Linked DNA regions of Notamacropus eugenii. The protein of the gene in region 2 purifies or fractionates together with the protein of the main gene of each other region. This does not show direct contact. Links are inferred from orthologs where the notes say so. Each region holds a gene or a part of one and is shown on either strand. Other genes may lie near its edges. The genes, in order: ATL3, ESYT1 and SYNJ2BP.

Region 1 (7,536 bases), on a different chromosome or scaffold from region 2:
TCCTTACTCTAGAGCTGGAAGGGATCTCAGAGGTCACCTAGTCCAACCCCCTTAGTTTACAGATGAGGAAACTTAGGCCCAGGGAGGCTGACTCCACAGCTGGTGCTCTCTCTATGCTAAAATGTATTTAAACTATTGTTTGGTACCTTAGTTTTGTTTTGTTTTGTTTTTCAAGAATTTGCCCTAGTCTAATTCTTCCAAAATAATACTAGCTAACATTGACAGGATGCTTTACAAAATGCTTTCTTTCTCAGTTTGATCCTAGAAGGCAGTAGGAGGTTACAGTGTCAGATACGAAAACAGTCATGAACAGAATTGCCAAGCGAAGAAAAGTTTCCTTTCCTAGAGTGTCATGTTAACAACGAGAACTTTAAGAGCCATCCATCACAAGACAAAGCCGTTTTCGTAAAACAAAGTATTAAGTGTGGGAATCCTGGAATTCTAAGGGAGAAGGACCAACCTATGATTTCATTGGTGTGAAGCCCTTCCAGATGAGAAAAAACTCAACTGATGCAGTTAGTTCCTTCTCTATAACTTAAGAATCTTCAGGAGCTTCCTAGAACAGAGGTGGGGAACCTGCAGCCTCAAGGCCACATGTGGCCCTTTGAGTCCTTGGTTTTGAACTTTTGAATGAGTCCAAGTTTTATAGAACAAATCCTTTTCTTAAGGGAATTTGTTCTCTGAAGTTTGGATTTAGTCAAAGGGCCAAACTTGAGGGCCTTGAGGCCACAGATTCCCCACCCCTGCCTAGAGCACCAAGATAAGGTCATACAGCCAAGATGTGTCAGTGAGAACTTGAATGCAGCTCTTCATGGCTGCACTACCCCTCTATCCACTACAGCAGAGGCCTGGGCCTGAGGCACAGCTGCCAAACCAGAACAAAATGTAACTGGGAAATAGTTAACAAAATAAGTAAAAATACAATAAAGCACAGATGATGTTAATACGTGGCTTGCTAAGTCAATGTGTAGCCAGGTCTGGCAGCCCCCACACCACTATCCGTACCATGCCATACCATACCATACTGTACCGTATCATACTGTACCATCTCATACGGTACCATGCCATACTATACTATACTATACCATACCATACTATGTCCTTTTGGGACTTTTCCCCCCATTATCATATATGTGACAGAAAAGGCAGTATAACACTTGGAGTCCAGAATATCTGGGCTCAAATCTCACCTATTACAGGCAGTGGACCAGAGACCTGGGCAAATGACTTAACCTCTCAGGGCCTCAGGCAATTCTCTAAAATCACAGACTGAGAACACAGCTAAAATTCTAAAACAAATTTGTAAAACTGCAGTTCTTCCTTTTATTATTTCATCCATTAAAAGTGACTCCCTAAAAAAAGGCTGCTCCTAGTGGAAGCAGGAGGCCTGCCCTGGGGCCCCTACTTAGTGTTTTCTCCTCCTTTCCACTACAGTTTCAATACAACTCCTCAAACCAGGGGACCTGAACTTTGTTGGCTTTGGAGAAGTTTTCCTACCCAGGCTCCTTACTCATCTTTTAAGTCTAGAAAGTTCACAAATGGAACCTGTAGAAACTTCCAAATGTCACAAAGAAAAAGCGGGGAGGGGGGAGTGTCAGTACTTCAATGACTGTCGTTTTGCTCTCTTTTCAAAAAAAAGGAAACGTACTCAAAAACTTTAGAAAATTTTCTCCAACTGAAGTTCATATTCTTTTCGTCAGCTAAAAAAAAAAACAAAACCTGATAGAACACCAAATTCTCTACCACACTTTTGGTTTCAGTCCCCTGAGGTAGAAAGATTCAGGTTAAAAATAATTTAAGTTTCACCATTCCCAGGGCAGGTTTCATAAAAGTTGAGTAACAGCTAGCAAGCAGACTCCAGGTGGCAGGACCACAGCTGCCATGAAAAAGGGCCTCAGTTCAATGTTCCTGCGCAGGAAGGGGAGCCTTGCCCTAGGTGACACACAGGTTGGTACCAGAAGGCAGGGCCTGGGTTTCAAAGGGTCTGGATTCCAAACCCTGTCTTCTTTCCTAAGAGGAATTCTGCCTGTAATGACTAGCCCGGGCCCTTCAGCATCTCCCTGTCTCCATCCTTCCACCCTAATATGGCCAAAAGCATCTGCTTCAAACTTTCTAGTCCAATGGGATGGAAAAGTCTACAAAGGAAGGAGGACCTTTAACGGGGATCACCCCCTGGTGGGGTCACTCACTACTGTGCTCGGTGCCCAAGGGTGGGGCAAACAGGACCGGTAGAAATCAAGTTCAGACGGGAAACTTCAACTCCAACCCACCCCAAAGAGGGCAGTCTCCTGATCACCAGGAAGGATGCCCCATTCCCCATGTCACCCGGCAGGGGGCCACAGGGGAGGGGCCCCCTCACCCTACTGCTCCGGGGCACAAGCAGGAACACGCGGAGAAATGGAGGGGGTGGAGAGAAGGAACCCACCTACTCGGGAAAAAGCCCAACACCAAAGCAGGGGGAGGAGCCACGCACAAACTTACAAACGGAGCCAGCTCCGCCAACCCCCTCGTTGTACACGGGGGGAAACTGAGGCCCAAGAAGGGGAAGGACCCCCAAAGGCCAACTAGCCTCGGCTCTTCAATAGAAGGGTAAACTGAGGCCCGGGAAGGGGAAGGGGTCTGATCGGAGGTCCTGGTCTAACGACCTCATTAGACAGACGGGAAAACTGAAGCCGGGACGGCCTGGAGACCACCCGGTCTAAGCCCCTCCCTTTACGGAAGAGGAGCTGAGGGGCAGAGAGGGCCGAGGACCCCCGAGTCCACTCAGTCCTGCGGCCTTCTTTTACAGGGGCGGAAACTGAGGCAGGAAGGGCCCGGGGCTCGGGGGGCGTGGGGTTACCTGTGTTCTCCCCGCTTTCTGATGAGGCCGCCGCCGCCGTTCCCAGAAAAGAAAACATGGAGCCGCCTCCTCATCAGCCCGGGCGGCAGGGGGAGGGCGGGCCGGGCCGGGCCGGGCCTGAGGGAGGGCGGCCGAGAGGGCGGGCAGGCGGAGCTGGGCGGGAAATGGGCGGGGACTCGGCAGCGAGAAGAAACGGGCTGCGCACGCGCACCCGGGCCCGGCCGGCGGCGAGGCCCGCGCAGCAGCCCCGCCCACCTCAGCCTCCTGGGAAACGTAGTACCACTCTGGCGCTCACTTAGGCTCTGGGGCTCCCAAGAAACCACAACTCCCAGCAGTCCATGCGGAATCACGGCAGCAAAGAAGGGAAGCTCGACTCTCCGGGGCTCAGCCTCCCACGGAACCATAACTCCCAGCAGGCCAAGCGGCGACGCAGGCGCTCAGCGGGTGGCCTGCCTAGGTGCTTCCTGCGGGCTGGACCGCGTGTCCGGTGCTTCGTGTCCAAAGCAGCACCCACGAGGGTCCAGGCCTGTGCCAGGAAGGGCTGCTGCTGCAAAGCTCAAAATAAAGAAAAGCAGGCCTTGCCCTCCAGCGGCATCCCCTCTAGTGGGGATACATAGGCCGCGTAACCAGATCTCTTCGCCTTAGTGTGACACTAAACTACCACTCCCAGCAGGCCAAGGGGAGGGTGGGGGAGGGGGAAAGGAAGAGGGAGACAGTGGGGGCCTAGAGCTATGCCAGGCTGGAGAGATCAGCCTGTCCAGCCCCGGGGAGGGGAACACTGTAGATGAGGCCCAAAGAGATTCAGTGTCCACCGCCAGCACAGGGCAGAGAAGGCCTTCTGCTGCTAAATCTGGGGCTGTCTGCAGCCAAGCTTCACCCAAACCCTTCATTTTACAAACGAGTAAACCGAGGCCCAGGGACGTCCTCTGTCATGCCCAAGAGCACAAGGGTGAAGGTTGGCAGAGCCAAGCGCAGGCCCCAGCTGAACTTAAATTCCCTGCCTCGGGCTCAGTGACCTTCAGTACTCGGTCAGTCAATGAGCACTTACTAAGGGCACAGTAATGTGCCAGGAGCCCAGGCCAGCCGTATTCAATTCCATTTAATTTAACAAGCATTGACAGAGTACCCACCTAATCAAACGCTGCACCTAGAACCAGCAATCAAAGGAAAATGAAAACAATCACATTCTACCGGAGAGAGTTTTGGTCCTGAAACACTCTCAGGCCACAGAAATAGGCTGCCCTTCTGTACTGGTTTCTGATCTCCGTGACCACCAACTGTCTGTGTAACCTTGGGCAAGTCCCTGTTCTTCCCCAGACCTCTGTTCTCCAGTAAAACGAGGGGTGAGACTAGATGATCTCTAAGGACCCTTCCCATAAGCCTACAAGTGAACCATTGCTGTATTTTCAAAATTGCACGGATCCCAGGGAGGAGGAAGAGGATGTGACTGAACTGCGATAAAGACGGGTAACCTCACTTCCAGGAGCACAGTCATGATCCAGGCTGTCTCCAGGATAATTGCTGTGTCATTAGTGGCCCTCAGGCACCCTAGAAAAGAGCCTTCTCTGCCGCTGGCTTTGCTTAATGATCGCCATCCATCCTCTGGGTCATCAGACCTGAGGCACACACACAGACACACACCCTCCTGACCACTTTCTTTCAGGCTCTACGCAGACAAATGAGCCTGAGGAATCGGGTACAAATGTGGGACCCAGGAGCAAACATAGAGCTGAAAGGCATAGTCCAGCTCTTTCATTTTACAAGACACAGTGAGGCCCAGACAAGGAGTGCCCTTTGAACCGCTGCCTCCAATTCCCAGAGGCTGTGCCCAAATGCTGGTTCTTGTTCATCCACTCAGTGAGCACAGGGCCTCTTCCTTACCTAAACTGGATCCCAGTCAGGACTCAACACAGGACTGTGTATACGGTCATTACTCAATAAATATTTGGTTGCTAAGTGATTTTGTCCAGTCCATGGTGGCTCAGAGTGGCCTTTTCAACAGACAAGTAGAGTCAGGAGAGACCTGGGTTTGAGTTCTAATCTTGCCCCTGGGCAGCATCGTGGGCTTGGGCAATAGCTTCTTCCTTGTTGAAATGGGTTCAGGTAAGAGCTGAACAAGCTGCTTCAAGTGACTGACATTAGGAAAAACACTTTACTCACTTTATTAGCGTGAATTCTTATTATTCTGGTGAGTATTGAGGTCACAGGAGACTATTTATAATAATCGCTGATGCCTGGAATTCTTTAAATACATCATCTCATTCAACATTGGCAGCAGCCCTGTGATGCAGGAGACACAAGTATTCCTGGTCCCATTTTACGGAGGTAAACACTAATGAAATACCAAATGACTTAGCCATTGTGACCCTGCCTGTAAGGGCCAGGGGCAGCATTTGAACCCAGGTTTCTCCTGACTCTGTCATCCTGCCTGCCATGATGTACATATACATGCTGTGAAGCAGTGTGCAGAGCATAATACAGTATAACACAAAAGACAATGGTAAGGGTCTATCATGAGAACTGGCATTTTTATAGCCCTTTAAAGTTTGCAACGGGCAGCTAGGGGGCAGCAGCCACAGTGCACAGAGCCCTGGACTGGGAACAGGGAAGTTTCATCTCCCTGGGTTCAAATCTGGCCTCAGACACTTCCTAACTGTGTGACCCTGGGCAGGGCATTTCACCCTGTTGGCCTCCATCTCCCTATCTGTGAAATGAGCTGGAGAAGGAAATGACAAACCACTCCACTATCTCTGCCAAGAAATGGCATCATTAAAAGCCGGACATGACTGAACAAGAATAAAAGTTTGCAATGTATTTTATCAATATTATCTCAGTTGATCCTCCAAACTGCTGCTTGAGAGAGGAATGACTGATGTTATCATTCCCATTCCACAGATGAGGAATTTGAGACACAAACAGGGTCAGTGACCTGCCCAGGGTTTCTCAGCAAGAGCCATGTCTAGAACCGCTGACCATGAATCAATCTGTCAACAAGCACTGATCACCATCTATGTGCCTACTATGTGCCAGGCACCACCAAGGTCCTGAACATATCAAGACCAAAAGGAATCCATTCCTTCCCTCCAGGAGTTTCATGCCTGGCCAGGAGGCAATGGGTCTATACTGAAGAGAATACAAAGCACACACCAAAGAAAAACCAGGGGGTTGGAGGAGAGGAGGCCAGACAGGAGGCCGGGGAGGAAGGTGGGGAGGAGGCCAGGGAGGAGGCTATGGTCCTCCTTTTTTTGCCTGTGAAATCTCATAATAGAATCCAGGGGCTGGCTTCTCCTTAGACCCACAGACTTCCAACCTTGGAGATCCTCCACTCCAGCCCCCACTGTACAGGTGAGGCCTTCCCAGAGGGAAGAGTTTTAGGAGTCATAAATGGCAGGGCTGGGAAGGTTCAGAAGTTGGCAGAAGAAGAAATATCTGGGTGTGGACCCAGAAGGAACTCCTGCTTTCCATGCCACTGACCCTGCCCTCTCTGCTGGGCTGCCCTGAAATGGCACACTCACACAAATACACACATATATACACAAATGCACACACACTCATATATACAGATGCTCACATATCTGTGTGGTGGTGGTGGTGGTGGTGGTGGTGGTGGTGGCGGCGGTGGTGGCTGCACAACCCAGAAATAGGCCGTCTAGAAGCAGCTGCCTGAGCAGCTGGAATGTGCCCAGGCAGGGGTGCAGGCACAGGGCACAAGTAAATATCCCTCTGACCTCCCCCCACCCCCAGCCACAAGGGAGTTTTCAGGTGCACAGGGTCCTTTACTGTCCCATTAACCTTTCCTCCACTGAAGGCCTTCTCCCATGACTCATCGTGATTTGTGGGTGACCCAGGGTTCCATAGGCAGTGCCAGCAGAGCTCAAGCTGTGGCAAGTCCTAGCAAACTGGAAGGACTCCAGTCTGGGCCTGCTGCTGGACTGTGGGTCTGATGTAGGAGGCCCAGCCTTGAGAATTTCACTTGCCAACTTCAAGGCTTTGAAGGGTGATTGGACAGAAGGGTTGGAGAACTGGGGGAGAGGGGAGCATAACAACCCTGAATAACTGCCTGGTAAGTCGGGGGAGGGGAGGGTTTGCCCCAGCAGGGAACAGAACAAACCATAGATCAACCAATCTAGTCAATCAGCCAGCACCTATTAAGCAGCTAGGAGCACAGGATCAAGAGCCTGGGGTCCAGAAGTTCTTGTTTAGCTGTTTTCTCAGTTGTATCTGACACTTTGTGACCCCACTTGGGGTTTCTTGGCAAAGATACTGGAGTGCTTTACCATTTCCTTCTCCAGCTCATTTTACAGATGAGGAAACTGAGGCCAATGGCTGAAGTGGTTTCCCAGCATCACACAGCTAGGAAGGGTCTGTGGCTGGATTTGAACTCAGGTCTTCCTGACTCCAGGCTGGGGCTATCAGCCTAGAACACCACCTAGCTTCAAGGGTCTAGAAAACCTAAGTCAGAATCTGGCCTGGGACACTTCCTAGCTGTTTGAGCCTGGGCAAGTCCCTGAAACTGTCTCAGCTTCAATTTCCCCAACTGCAAAATGGGAATCATAAGAGCACCTCCTTTCCAGGCTTGCTGTGAGGCTCAAAGGAGAAAAGTTTTCCAAGAAGCTGGGCACACAGTAGGCACTATAGAAATGCTTGGCACATAGTAGGCACCATAGAAATATGTATCCTCTTCCTTTCCTTTTTTC
Region 2 (7,797 bases):
TAGGTCTAGAAGGATCTGCTGTTTGTTCTGACCAGTGTGAACCTTGACCCCCAGGATACGTAAAGGCTGAGAAGGGAATACATGGAAGGCAATAGACATTTGGTCCCCTGTGCACTGATCCCCGAATTGAACCCTCCCTATTCCCATGCCCCATGCCATCCACCTCACCTTTTCACCTAGTTCCACACGAGTAAATGTGAAAGTCTGCAGATGAGTATTGGATGCTCGAACAGCTGGGGCCACTGTTTCTGCTAAGAGCTTCTCCATATACTGGCCCAGGAAGGGCCAGGCCTGAGCCACAATCTTGGGATGACAGAAGAAGAGTCATGTGGAGGTTCACTGTCTCTTCCTCATGTAGTCAGACCCCTCTGAGAACCCACTTCCCCAAATGGCTACAATCCCAATGAAAACTTGGAGGACAAGACTAGGTTCTAGCTGGGAGTGAAGGGGTCAACATGTCCTGGCTGGCTAGGGAATCAAAGTCTCAGCAACTGATCAGAGAGGACCTATACCCACCCATGTGCAAACTCACCTTGTTCACCCACTCAACCTTCTCCACATCAGGGAAGCTAACCTGGAGGAAGGAAGAACATACATTTGGACCCCTGAGACCAGGGATTCTTAACCTTTTTTCTGTAACATGGGCCCCTCTGCCAGTCTTAGTGAAGCCTATGGAACTTTTCTCAGAATTTTTTTTAAATATCATGGACCTCCGGGTTAAGAATGCCTGAATTACAAGAACTTTCATCTGTCCTTGTGAAGGTGCTATCAGAATGGGACAGGAAGTACTTGTATAATGCCTGTGTGTCAGGATGCCCACTGACAAGGTACTTGTTTTGTTGTTATTGAGTAGGGTGGGGCCAGAGGGACAAGCAGTTTCACTTCCACTAAAGACTCCAGGGAGACAATTCTAGGGGTGTAGAGAATTGGGGGGATAGTCGTGATTTCTTGTAGGGGTACTAAGTCAAGGCTCAGATAGCACAGGAGCCCCTTTGTTTTCTAATGACTCCCTTGGAGTGGGAGGCAGCAGGCACAGCTGCTGGGCTAAGGGATGGTACATTCTTTAGGAAAAGGAATCCTGTCCTTAGGACAGCGTTCCTCATAACACTAGAGGAGAATGAGAAGGGTACCTAGAAGTTACATTTTCCCAACCTATAGCACCTGGGGAGACTAACGGGTTAAACTAAACATAACAAGGGAATTGGCCCGAGGCCCCCCTTTTCCTGGGGAGGGGGGGTAGGGAGAAGTTTCCACAATTGAGATGTGGGAGTGGCAGAGACGTGGAACTGGTAAAGAGGACTGGATGGAGGGGGTGGGGAGAAGGAACTGGGATACCAGTCCTGGCCCAGAAGATTGGGCTCCAGGGCAGAACTCCAGTTCCAAACTGCCTCAGAGCAGAGTCACTCTTGATGACACTCAGTCTTCGCTAGCTTTGACTCCCTTCAAGATAAGGCAACTCTGCTGGGGGTTTGAAAGGGAGGGGCCCAAGCTTGGTTATGGGCTCAGGCTAGGTTTCCCGCTAAAGCTCCTCCTGGCCTTGGCTGCTACATCCGGTCTGTGCCTTCACTGCAGAAAAAGGGAATATTTCTGGGTCTTCACCTACCCCACCTATACCTCTAGACTTTTCCAGCTCTAGGGTCTGAAGGACTGGGTGGGGCTGAAGCCAGAAGGTGGAGGAAGGGTGTGGACAGCAGACACTGCAGCATCTGCACACATCCCCCTCCCCTCTCCCTTTCTCTCTCTCTCTTCCCCTCTCTCCTTTCCTCCTCCCCCATCCCCACCCCACCCCCCCGCCCCCGACTTCTGCAGCCAACCACAATCACTACCGCAGTCCAGGCTGGGGGCCTGATGCATAGGTAGCGAGATACAGAAGGAGGGTCTACCCAGGGGGTTAGGGATGCCTAAGGAGGATCGAGGGAGGGGAGCAGAAACAAGTCCACGTCCGAAGGGCTGGGTCCTCGTAACCAGAGTTGAGTGGATGGGTGGGGGAGCCATACAATAAAGTAGGTAACAACGTCCCAGTATAGGGAGGAGGGAAGGACAGGGAAATCCTCGGAGCAGAGCCAGTGGGGAGGGTGACGAAGATGCCTGTGGGGGAGGGGAAGGAGACAGAGTGCAGACGAGGTGGCACCCACAGCGGGAGTGGTGGTGGGAACTGGTCTGTAGTCCGGGGAAGGTGGTCCGGCGAAGGTGGTATGTCTGATATGGGATGCCTAGGTGTGTGTGGGGGCAGTGGGGGGTGGGGGGGGGGAGGTTCAGGGCTCCGGTGAGCGAAAATGGGAGAAGTTAACAGCTTCGGGACTAAGGGACCTTCGTAGTGTCCAGTGGAAAAAGGGTAGGGGGAAGGGAATTCTGGCGGGAGCGGTGGCGGATTCCGGGAGATCTGGATCCCGCTAGAGTTAAGGATGCTAGGGCTGTAGGGATGGACTTAAGTCTGAGCAGCTGTCCTGGGGATGGCGATGCTCGAGGATGGAGGGGTGGGGTGGGGTGGGGTCGGGAGGAGGCTCCAGAAGTCCGGCAGGGGGTGGTCCTGGGGGGGGGGGGACTGGCCCGGGCTGCGGGAGATGGGGGGCGGAGGGCTGTCTCACCCAAGCGGGCAGCTCGCGATGGCTCAGGTAGAGGGTCTGCGTCGTGAGCCTCTCCTCATCGTCCAGCAGCTGCCGCGCCGCCTGCAGGCTCCGCTCCTTTCCACCGCGGACCCGGCGCCAGCCCAGGTAGAGGGCTAGGCCGAAAAGCACGAAGCCCACGCTGAGCCCCAGGGCCCCGGCCAGATATACGGGCACCAGCACTAGCAGCCTCCGCCCGAAGGAGCTCAGCACCGCTAGCGCCTCACCGGCTGCCCCGGGTGGCTGAGGCGGCGGCGGCGGGTCCGCCGGTTTAGGGTCCTGTTTGGCTGGCTCCGCGGGGAGCTGGTCAGTGGGGTCGGCCACGGGGCCGAGACCTTTTCCAACGGGCCGCTCCATGGTGCCAACGCCCGCCCGCACTGGAGCCCAGCTCCGCGCTGCCCCGCCTGGCTGCCCCTGTCCCCCAAGCCCAACCGAGAACCCCGAGGGCGGGGCGGCTACTTTAGACCACGCCCCTTTATGGCAGCTCCCATTGGCCCATGCCCAAAGACTGGGGCGGAGCCACGAGCCTAAACCACGCCCCTAGAGGGGAGGTGTGGAATCCAGAGGGGCAGAGCCCTCTCTTATTGGCTATGCAATACTGGGCGGGGACACTCCGGGAGATAGGGGGAAGGGAGAAGTCTGATTGGTCTGAAGGAGAGGAGGAGGCGTGGCGCACAATTTAAAGAAGGGAGGCCAGTAGTAGGAGGTGTCCCCACGTGGGATGGGTGGGGCTGGTGGGTGACGCCATGTCCAGCTTCCTCTCCTCAATTGTTTTGGTTTAGGTTGAGCTGGCTTTGCTAAACTAAAGTTTTGTAGATGTTTAGAAGCGCCATTATCCCCAAATATGGATAGGGTGAGAGGGATAGGCTGGGGATACTGACCTCCCCCTATCCTCAAGCCTGGGGTGCCCAAACCCATTGCTTCCAGGGGGTCTTTCAGAGATGAGAACTAGAATGAAGGGTTTTGCCCCATCTTCGTTTTCCATCTGCCTGAGGGGGATGTCAGCGTGATGCTCTGGAAAGGGAGCGCTGAATTTGAAGCCCTTGGCCCTCAGTTCAACTCCTGACATTTTGCCATCTCTGTGACTTCCACTGTCAGATGAGGAGATTGGACTAGACTAGATTATCTATCCCTAATCCGAAATCTGCGGGAGCTACAGTATCAGAGGGTGGAGAATGGTCTTTTTAAAACTCTGAAAGATTACTTTATACTTTATTTCTGTCTTTGCCACGTGCAGTGTGGGAGGAAACAGACTGGATTGCAGCAGGAAAGGGTGAATTGGTTAAATCTTTATTGCTGATAGTGAGTAGGCAGCAGAGATATTGATAAATCAAATCAATCAATAAGTATTTATTAGGTTCCTACTATGTGCCAGGCACTCTGGTGGAAGTAGGGGTAAGGCACGGTAGGAAATAACGTTTCAAGCAACATTTTAAAAATATTTTAAAAATAAATTCCTATATTTCTAAAAGCTCTTCCCCAATAGAGAGGTGGCAATAGGATATGAACAAAGAATTCCCAAAAGAAGAATTACAAGCTATTAGTAGTCATATGAAAAAATACTACAAACCACCAATAATAAGAAAAATGCAAATCCAAACAGCTCAGGTTTCACCTCACACCCAATAAATTAGCAAAGAGGGCAAAAAAAAGAGGAATAATTAATGTTGGAGGGGTTGTGGGAAGGTAGGTACACACTAGTGCATTGTTGGTAGAGCTGTGAATTGGTACAATGATTCTGGAAAGTAATTAGAAATTAGGCCAAAAATAAAAGGCTCCAAAATATTTATAGTGGCACTTTTCCTGATAGAAAATGACTGGAAACAAAGTAGATAGATGTCCAGTAATTGGAGAATGGTTAGACAAATTGTGATATATTTATATAAAGGAATATTGCTGTGCTACAAGAAACAATGAACATAATAAATGAAGAAAAGCTTGGAAAGATTTGTTAAGTGCTAAAAGGTAAAATAAGCAGAGCCAGGAAAACAATACACACAAGGGCTGCCTCAGCATACATAGAAAAAAATAGCAACAAAAATGCATTTTTAGAAGAATGTTGCGAAATTATAACAAGCTTGGCCCCAAAGAAGAGATATGAGAAGACGCTTCCTCCCACTCTTTGCAGAAGTAGATGGTTCATGCAGTTACCACATTTCACATAATGTCATGTTTTTTCAATGTGTCAGGTTTTGCTGAATCTTTTTCTCTTCTTTCAAAAAACTGTTTTAGCTCTCTGAGAGAGGGTATGGATAGCATTAAGGGGGGGAGGGAATCTCGGTGACATAAAACAAAAAGATATTGATAAAATCTATTATTAGAAATAAATGCTTATAGTTCAATGCCTTAAAATGCCATTCTTCATGGTACAAGATTCTTTAAGAGCACTATATTTCAAAAATGATTAATGTGAAAATGTGTTTAATAAGAATGTATGTATAGAATCCATATAAGATTGCAAGCCATCTGGGGAGGGAGAAGAGAGGGGGAGAAAGTTCAAGACTTATGGAAGTGATTGTTGAAAACTGAAAACAAATACATTAAAAAAAAAAGAGCATTATATTCGAATAAAGAGGATGAACCTTTTCAAATTTGACTAAAATGCAAAAATACCTTGTTCTGGCATCAACAGACACCATATTAAGTGACTCAAGGATGTTGTAACGCTTCCTTTAGAGAGTTTCTAAGAACCTAAAGATCTCATACCGAATCAGGATAAGTTAAGTTCAGTTCTTACTCAAGTAGACCAAAGGGTGGTGTGATGAAGATGTTTCTCCTAATGTTGAGAGGCAGGTGGAGAGGGACCACTTTTGAATCAAGACAACTTGAATTTTACTCCCAGCTCTCACAGGTGCTAATTGAGTGACTGGACAAATCATTTAACCACTCAATGCCTTCAACAATTCTCTAATACTAACTTGAAGAACCAGCTAATTAATAAACATTTGTTAAGTACCTTCAAAGCAGAAAGATAAAAGTGCCTTCAATGTGCCTGGCACTGTGCTAAGTACTAGGGATACAAAAGAGGCAAAAGACAATCCTCGACCTCAAGGCTTTCAGTCTAATGGACTAGACAACATACAAACAAATATACACAAAGCAAGCTATCTATCTATATTGGTAGAGAAAATTTCCTCACTAAGAATTCCTTAACATCAGTGAAATCACAGGTCCCAGAAAAAAAAATATTGGTTTGTTTTTGGGTTTTTTTGGTGTTGAGAGTTGAGAGTTGAAGATTGTTTGGGGACTGAGAAATGAAAGATGCCACTATAGGCCTGCCAGAGATCTATGTGAGAAGCATGGTGGAGAGAGCCTAGTTCTTCGTGTGACCTCTGGACTTAAAGTCAGGACAGACATGGGTTTGCATCCCTTCTCTGAAAATTCTTAGCTGGGTAATTGGACAAATTTTATAATCTCCATGACCCTCAGGTTTCTCATTTGTAAAATGAAGCTAATCACTTTTAACACTTAGCACAGCACTGGCTCCACAGCAACCCTGAGGTACTTATCTCCCAGGATTGTTAGGAGACCCAAATGGGATAATGTAGGTACTTCGGGAAACTCTATAAATGTCAGTTATTTAGACTAACAGGTTGTTGTTCAAGAAAAGGAAGATCAGGAAAGGAAGTGGGCTGGTTATGTAGTAAGGGTGAAGAATAACAGATGGCCAGTAAAAATGTTGCCCAGGTACCCATGAAATGTAAAGTAATTTAGATTCTTTATGGAGAATCTGTGGGACAACAGGAGCACTGGATGAAAACATGTGGATGGGTTTTGACTTGCACAGATGGAGAGAACATCCTGTCAATTGAACCATGGATAGAGAAATGGAAACATTAGTGATAAAGTCCTCTTCCTGTAGGCTGAAGGCCAGCCAAGTTAAGTTTGAATGGCTCTTTAACATGTGGGCTGATGACTGATAATTTTTTAAATAGTAATCTTTGAAAACCATCTATGAAGTGATAATTAATTTTGAAGATCTCTGTGGAGAGAAAACCCACACCAAGGAAATCACAGGTCTTTGTAGCCAAAGTTTCATTATTAGTTGGCAATGCCAGGGAATCTCAGTCACAGTCCGGAGTCTGAGTTCCTCCCTCCCTCCCTTCCTCCGTGCTGGAGAAGTAGAATTGGGCAGTAGAGAAGATGCACCACTCTGGCAGATAGATTATCTGGCTCTTCGAGGTGTGGATTTTATCTGACATCTACTCATCTACTCTGAGCCTCTGGCAGTGTTTCATCAGAGCTGCTCAGAACCTGTCCCCACCCAATAGCCTAACCTCAGTTCTCTAATCTGGGGTTTCTATTTCCCTTTTTTCCTGACTCCCCGAGGCTGATTGCATCTGGGAGCTTTACTTAGTCTGCAAAATCTGCTAAGGACTCAGACTGTTTCCATTTTCCTACCTCTTGTCATCCATCCCTCCACACCCCCAAGGAGGAGTGAGGTTGGAACACGAGGGAAGGGCAGGGGAGAGGGTCATGGGGGAGGTTGCATGTGACTGATGGCTCCATTCCAGAAGGAAACAGCTTTGTTGCAGGGAGGGGAGAAGCTCTTAAGGTAAGGGCTACTGAGCATTGGAATAACGGGGGAGGCCAGGGATATTCCTCAAAGAGCTCTCGGCATAAGAGGCAAGCCCCCAGCCCAACACACATAAACACACACACACACACACAGACACACATTCACACACTCACTCACTCGATAGCCCAGACTGACTGTATCTGCAGGCTTAATTGTCCTCTGGAGGTTCTCTAACCCTTCATATCTGAGCATCGGAACAATTAGACTCTTACCATGATGGGCAAAGGGGACAGAGAGCCTGGATACCTCAACTCCCCTCCTCCAGCTGGAGCTAAGAAGCACCCAAGGCCAGAAACTGCAATGCAGACATCTGGTTCATAAACACCTCATCTTCCTGTCTCTCCTTGGCATACCTACTGCCTACGTGCCATCTGGTGGTGGTTGGAGGTAATGGAAAGACTGGGAAGGTGGAGGGGAGGAAGGGAGGGAGGCAGCAATTACCAGTGGTATCATTTCTAAAGAGTGGGGCAGTGGAGATACTGAAACTTCCTAGGATTATAACATATTAATATGTAATTTATTGACATTTGCTTTGTAATGATGTGTTATATAATTATATGAAAATTACTATCCTCGCCCTGGTCCTTAACCACCTGTATAAACTTGGTGGGT
Region 3 (7,008 bases), on a different chromosome or scaffold from region 2:
AAGGAAAAACAAAAACACAGGAACAATAGATATCCCAAATGTGAAGTCTGGAAAAAATTTAGGAGCCCTTCTATTGTGCTGTAATAAGTGACTAAATGGATTAAATCCCTACAAGTAAACAGCTAGGAATTATTCACTAATGGGCAAGTGACTTGCTATAATACAGAAGGAAAAGTTTTCCATACATTGTCTACTCTCATCTATGAATTAATCTGCCCCACTTCATCCGTGCACGTGCACATACACACACATGCATACACACACATGCACACACACACACATCCCAGATTACTCACTTCCCCTCTGCATCCATTGGGAACTGATTCAGGAAGAGAGCACAAACAAACAGAAGTCAGGAGCCCTGATTTTTTTTGTCCCATCTATGCCAATAACTTGCCGTGTGACCTTGAGCTAGTCACATTTTCCTGGACTTCAACTTTCTTATCTCTAAAACAAACAAATTGGATAAGATGATATCTAAGGTCCCTTTCCAGCTCAAAAATTAATATTAGTCAGTTTGTGACATCTGCCTCAAAATCAAGCTGGAACAGACTCCAGGTCACCGCTGGTAATCTGCAGCTATCTGTAAAATTAACTATGAACTTTCAGCAAAGCCTCTGGGGCAAATGTTGCTAGCCCTATTATCATTACCCAACCCAGGTCCCTTTAATTTTCTCCCTTAAAAATCAAAATCCCACCCACTCCTTCTGTCTTTTCCTTTCTTAATAGTCCTGTTCCCTTGCCTATGCCTTTGGTCTTCTGAAGCCACTGCTTAGCCACTCTATGGGCACTGATTGCTGAAAATTCTGTAAATTCATTCCAGACATCAATTCCCATCCTTCCAGAGTAATGGTCTCCCAAGTGGGGGCTGTGGCCTGATTCCAAGAAGTATGGGATCAACCAATCAGAGGGCTGATCCCAATGAGATCCAATCTTCCTGCTTCTGAGCCCAGCATGGGTCCTTCTGGGGAGTTGTCATCTAACCACTACCTAGTACCTATAGCAGCAAGTACTTAAACGCCACTGAAAAGTTCTCACCACCACCCCACCCCACCAGCATACCCATACCCTGTCCCTAAAATCATTTCATGGCTTGGGCAGGCACTGCTGGAGAAGATAACACCAAGTTATCTTCCTGTTATGTTCCAATCTTCACTCTCCCTCACTCCACGTATCTTATTAACAAGTCTTGTCATTTCTACCTCTTCATTTCTCTTAATGAAGCCACTACCTGAGTTCAAGCACTCTTCACCTCTAGACAGAATTACTGAAATAGTTTTCTACTTGGTCTCGCCTTACTGAATCTTACACACAACTACCCAATAACTTCCCTCAACTCAATAAATTCCAGTGGCTCCCAAATGACTTTGGGATCATATATTACTTCATCTTTATCTTGCCCTTTCAAAATTTACATTTTCATGCAAGTTTGATAGCATAATTATTATTATTACTTATTATAATATATAATAATGTAATTAACATAATATATAATAAAATATATTATATTATATTGTATTATTACATATTATTATTTATTACTTATTACAGCAGTACATGCATATAATTTGTAAATAAATATACACATATTGGGAATGTATGCTTGATTTTTTTTCCTATGGATAGCAGTGTGCAATTCAAAAAGTCTAAGAGACCACTGTCCTAGAGAACCAATACCTTAATTTTTTTCCTGAAAGGGTTGTGCAATCCAAACAGTCTAGACCACTGTCCTAAAGTACTCCTATCTTAATTTTTTTTTTTCGGAAAGGGGTGTGTAATTCAAAAAAAAAAAAATCAAGAGACCACTATGCTAGAGAACCAATCCCTTCAGGATAAGGAGAACATACAACTCTGAACCTCAATAGGAAGTTCATGAGATAGGGGCGGGACCTTTCTGGAGAGCTTGCTGGTTTCTAAAGATCTAAGAAAATCAGGCATAACCATCTTTCTAATTAAAAACATCCAAGTCTACCGTGTGCAGATGCAAACATGAAGAGCCCAGCCGTGTGGGGCCAGGCACTGGGCACCGGGCACCGCCGCGCCACCTCTACGCCCCTGCCCCTGGGAGACTCCTCCGAAGAGCCGCCGGCACCGCGGGCTCACTCGGGCCTAGGGGGGGCTCCAGTGACTGCTCGGCCGCCACACGCCGGCACTCAGGGCGAGGCTGCGTGCGCAGGCGGGTGGTCGGGCTGCGGGGGGGGGGGGGAGGGGAGGGGTCGGGGGTGGGGAGAGGGGAGGAACGGGGGGGGGGGGGGGAGGGGCAGGGCCCGCCGCCCCGCGAGCAGCTGACCTTGGGCGGCCGGCTTCCTCGTCCCTAACCAGCTCGGGCTGCCCTAGGGGCGCTTTCAAAGCGCCTGGGTCCACGGCAAACCTGATTAAAAGCGCGGGGGATCGACTGAGTGACTCAGTCGCTCTACACACTCTTAATTAGTAGTGGGACTCTTTAAAAAAAAAAAAAAGAATTTATACAAGGGGGCAAATGAATTTTCATGCTAGATTCCAGAGAACCTCGGTAACGGAGATTTTTAAAAATAAATATAAAAAGCTCTGGAAGTTGAGGGCCAAGGCGATGGGGGGGGCCGCGGGGGGGCGATGAGGGGGCCGGAGGGGGGCGGGGGGGGCGGGGCGGCCGCCGCGGGTGAATCGCCAAGGGCAGTACGCCTCCCACCTTTAATCCTCCCTCTCCCCGGAGGCGCCGTGACGCACGGGCAGCTCGGCTGTGCCAGGCTGCGGCCAGGGCAGGGGCTCCTTCCTCAGCCAAGGGTGGACGCCAGGCTACCAGCAGATCCCCCTCCACGAGCGGGAAGGGGTTATACTGATAAGAGGCCCGCGGCCCGACCAAGAGGAGGCTGGGGGTCGGCGTGGGGCTGAGGGAGACTTCTCGTGGCGTGGCGGGAAACCTCAGGCGGCCCCTTTCCCCCCTCCCCCATCCCATCCCCAGCTCCCACCAAGTACCTGAGGGTCCTCGGAAAAGATTAATCTCTTCTTCCGTGACCAGATAGTCCACTCTTCCGTTCATACTTTACGCAGGGCCCAGGGTTTTCCTTCCCCCGACCGGATTCACCCGCCCGTCGTGTTCACGGGACTGAAGGTGAAAAAAAACCCAGCTGCAGCCGCAGCACTTTCGGTTTCATCAGCCTCCCCGGACAGGAAGGGGCGGATGGGAAACACCGGGAATTCTGGGGAATGTAGTTCCCGGGCTTGTCCTCCTCCTCCCCACCCCCACCTCCCTAGGCTTTGCACTGTGGGTGGCTTTGTTGGGAGGGGCTTTCTTTGTTAAGTGAGAGAAGAAGCACCAGTTGCTAACGGGACCCTGTACATCTGTGGCTCACTTTATCCTCAATAACACATTGGGGGATTGATTCCCCAATAAGACTGGGGAATTTTATAGGCGGGGAAACCAAGGTTGAGCCTGTTAGTTGTTTAATAATGCCAATAAGGACAGCTAACATTCATCTATTTCTCACTCTGTGCCAGGGTGTACTAAGCACTTTACAGTTATTATCTCATTTGAGCCTCACAACAACCCTTATTAGCCCCATTTTACATATGAGGAAACTGAGGCAAGAAAAGTTAAGTTACTGGTGCAGGGTCACTTACTTAGTGTCTGGGACCAAATGTGAACTTAGGTCTTCTTGATTCCTGGTCCAGTGGGCAGGGTACCCTAGGCTCCCACATCACTCAATACTGCAGTGAAGGGCCTTGGTTTCCTTATATGTTAAGAAAAAAAAGGATGCCTTAACAGGGTTGTATGAGGTCCAGATGATCCATTAGACTGTAAACTCCTTGGTGGCAGAGGCTGTCTTTGGCTTTTTTTTTTTTTTTTGTATCCCCAGTGCTTATTGATTGAAATGTTTGTTAGGGAAAAGGGAATAAGAATATAGTGTCAGATGCTTTACAAATATTCTATCCCTTGATCTTCACGGCCACACTAGAAAGTAGGTGCTACCATTATACCCATTTTACAGTTGAGGAAACTGAAGCGAAGTTAGGTGACTCGCTCAGGGTCACACACCTGTTTAGTGTCTGAGACCATATTTAAACTCTGATCTTCCTGACTCCAGGCCCCAGCGTAGGTAAAACCTTAAAGCTCAATAGAAATGTTAGCTGTTCACATAGTAAACATTTAGTGCTTGTTTTCTGAATTTGTTTCAATTAAATGTTTAATCCTATAAGCTATTGTTTGTTGATATCTTTTAATTTTACATCACTCTTGTTACCCGAGCCATCCTTAATGACAAAAAAAAAACAAAACAAGAATCACTATTGATCGGAGAAATGCAAATCAAAACACCTCTTAGGTACCACATCACACCTATCAGATTGGCTAACATGACAAAACAGGAAAATTATAAATGTTGGAGAAGATGTGGGAAATTGGAACACTAATGCATTGTTGGTGGAGTTATAAACTGATCCAACTATTTTGGAGAGTAATTTGGAGCCATGGAACTATGCCCAAAGGGCTATAAAAATATGCTTACCCTTTGACCCAGCAATACTACTTCTAGGGCTGTATCCCAAAGAGATCAAAAAAATGGCAAGGTTGTACAAAAATATTGATAGCAGCACTTTTTGTGGTGAAAAAGAATTGGAAATTGTGGTCCATTCCATTGGTTATAATTCTTTACATCATGACTAATGTGAAGATATGTTTAATATGAATGTATATGCAGTGTTGGGGAGGGGGGGAGAGGAAGAAAATTTAAAACTCAAAAGCTTGTGGAACTCAAATTTGAAAACTAAAAAAAAAAGGAAAAAATAGTTCAGGAAAACTAACCAACATATGAAACGGTCGATATTATAAGTAGTGTTTTTGACACCCATAGTTCCTCCACCTGGGAAAAAAAAAAAAAACTTGGAGGGAGGAAAGTACATTCTCATATCTCCTCTTTGGAGTCAAATTTGGTTATGGTAATTTCCCAGCATTCAGTATCTTTTTTTTTTTTTTTAAATAATGTTTGTTGACTAACATATTATGCTAGAAAGCTATTCCAGCAGGACACTCAGCTGGAAAGTCTTTAAATATGGGCCTGTGACAGCCTGTGTCAATTGTCTTAGGACCAGCTTAGATAAATTTAGAGAGGCTTATCCCTAGAAAATTGACCACCAGCTGATTAATTGTTTGGCCAAAGCAGCCCATGTAACCATCTGCTAAGGAGCCTATGGTTGAATTCAGTATGACTGGAGGGATTACCCAGAGGAGTGAAATCAAAGATTCTTAAAACTTAGTAAAAAGCCAGATTGTCAGAACACTGGCCCTTTAGCCTGGTAGAGGAAGCCTATCGTAATGGATAGTGTTCTGATTTCTAACCTAGTGGTGGTTTGGATGTCTGCTTCAAATCCTGGCTCTGCTACTTAACACCGTAGTGACCCTGGGCAATAACAACCTCTCCCAGGCTCAGTTTTCTCTTATTAAGTGGTGATAATAGTAGCAAATACTTTACAAGATTGTTTTAAGACTTAAGTGAGGTATTTTATTAAAGTGTTTTGTAAACCTACTTTGCTTACCATCACAAAATGACATACATATATGTGTATATGTATACATATACATATATTACATATACATACATATACACATACATATATACACACATATATACATACATGTATATACATAATCTAATGTAATCTAACATAAGCCCTAATCTCTCCTGAGAGACATAATCCTTAACTATCAATTATCTGCTATGCATCTCAAACTCAGCATGTCCAAAACTGATCTCAGACCTGGGCTATAAAACCCCCCAAAGTAGTTACCACTCTTATTCCAAATTCAACGTGTCCAAATCAGAATTCATTCTCTTTCTCCCCAACCCTACCCCAAATTTCCCTCTTCTCTTGAAAGCACCAGGATTCTTCCAGTCTCCCAGGTTTGTAACCTTGGCATTATCCTTGATTCCTCACTCTCTTTCACCTTACATTCTAACCAGTTACCAAATCTTGTTCTTTCTACCTTTCTGTCTCTCATATCTGACCTCTTCTCTCTACTCCTACAGCTGAACACCTTAGCTCAAGCCTACAGACTATTACAACACACTCCTAATGGGTCTGCCTGCCTTAAGTCTCTCCATCCTCCATACTGCTGTCAAAGTGGTTTTCTTCAAATTCTGATCTGATCATATCCCCTGCTCAGTAAACTCTAATGGCTCTATATTGTCTCCAAGATAAAATATAAACTGTTATGTTTAACTTTGAAAGCCCTTTGCAACTTGGCTCCAGCTGATCTTTTCAGCTTCACTAGACAGTACTCCCACACTCTGTAATCTAGTCAAACTGGTCTTTTTTCTATACACAACATTCCATTTCCTGTCTTTGTGCATCTGTACTAATTGAAATGCAACAAAAAATATTAAAACAGAGTTGAAATATTGAAAAAGAAAAGAAAGCTAAAGTAACTGACTTAGAAAGCAGATCACAGAGATTCAATTTAAGAATCACTGGACTATCTGAAAACCATGAGCAAGAAAGAGAGGGAGGGTTAAAGGAGAGAGACGCAGAGACAGAAACAGAAATATTGTAAATCATATTCCAAGAACTCATGAAAGAAAACTGTCCAACTGTCTTAGAATCAGAGGGCAAAGTAAAAATAGAATCTACTAATCACCTCTTAAAAAAAAACAAAACACAAAATGAAAACTCCCCAGAGTTTTAGCCAAAATCCAGAGCTTCTAGATTAAAGAAGAAAAAAAAAAACAGGCATGTTGTCAGAAAGAGTTAAAGTACTAAGAAACCTCAATCAGGATCATACAAGGTTTACCATCTACTCTATAAAGAACTGTAGAACAAGGAATCTAATATTCCAAAAGGCAAAAGATATAGGCTTGCAATCAAGAATAATTTACTTAGCAAAAACTGAGTGTAACCCTACAGGGGAAGAAAAATGGGTCTTTATTAAAAAGCCTATGGCATTACACTACTGCTGTTTTTTTCTGTTACACTACTATTTTATAGGACACTTCCAAGCATTTTTAATGAAAAGCTTAGTAGAAATTCTGAACTGCA

What was found.
Region 1: the proteins of ESYT1 (region 2) and ATL3 purify together in Homo sapiens (affinity purification with mass spectrometry; 3 studies listed by BioGRID and IntAct, with this or other methods). This does not show direct contact. The link is inferred for Notamacropus eugenii from reciprocal best matches to the Homo sapiens genes ESYT1 and ATL3.
Region 3: the proteins of ESYT1 (region 2) and SYNJ2BP purify together in Homo sapiens (affinity purification with mass spectrometry; 4 studies listed by BioGRID and IntAct, with this or other methods). This does not show direct contact. The link is inferred for Notamacropus eugenii from reciprocal best matches to the Homo sapiens genes ESYT1 and SYNJ2BP.

The regions. Positions count from the first base shown.
Region 1 is NC_092873.1:16,546,017-16,553,552, forward strand, and holds the start of ATL3 (atlastin-3), read right to left. Parts: upstream 3,002-7,536; 5' UTR 2,898-3,001; coding exon 2,840-2,897; intron 1-2,839. UniProt on the Homo sapiens protein: Atlastin-3 (ATL3) is a membrane-anchored GTPase that mediates the GTP-dependent fusion of endoplasmic reticulum (ER) membranes, maintaining the continuous ER network. It facilitates the formation of three-way junctions where ER tubules intersect.
Region 2 is NC_092874.1:231,388,522-231,396,318, reverse strand, and holds the start of ESYT1 (extended synaptotagmin-1), read right to left. Parts: upstream 3,052-7,797; 5' UTR 2,964-3,051; coding exon 2,589-2,963; intron 575-2,588; coding exon 533-574; intron 304-532; coding exon 169-303; intron 67-168; coding exon 1-66. UniProt on the Homo sapiens protein: Binds calcium (via the C2 domains) and translocates to sites of contact between the endoplasmic reticulum and the cell membrane in response to increased cytosolic calcium levels.
Region 3 is NC_092872.1:297,624,696-297,631,703, forward strand, and holds the start of SYNJ2BP (synaptojanin-2-binding protein), read right to left. Parts: upstream 3,085-7,008; 5' UTR 3,020-3,084; coding exon 2,956-3,019; intron 1-2,955. UniProt on the Homo sapiens protein: Regulates endocytosis of activin type 2 receptor kinases through the Ral/RALBP1-dependent pathway and may be involved in suppression of activin-induced signal transduction.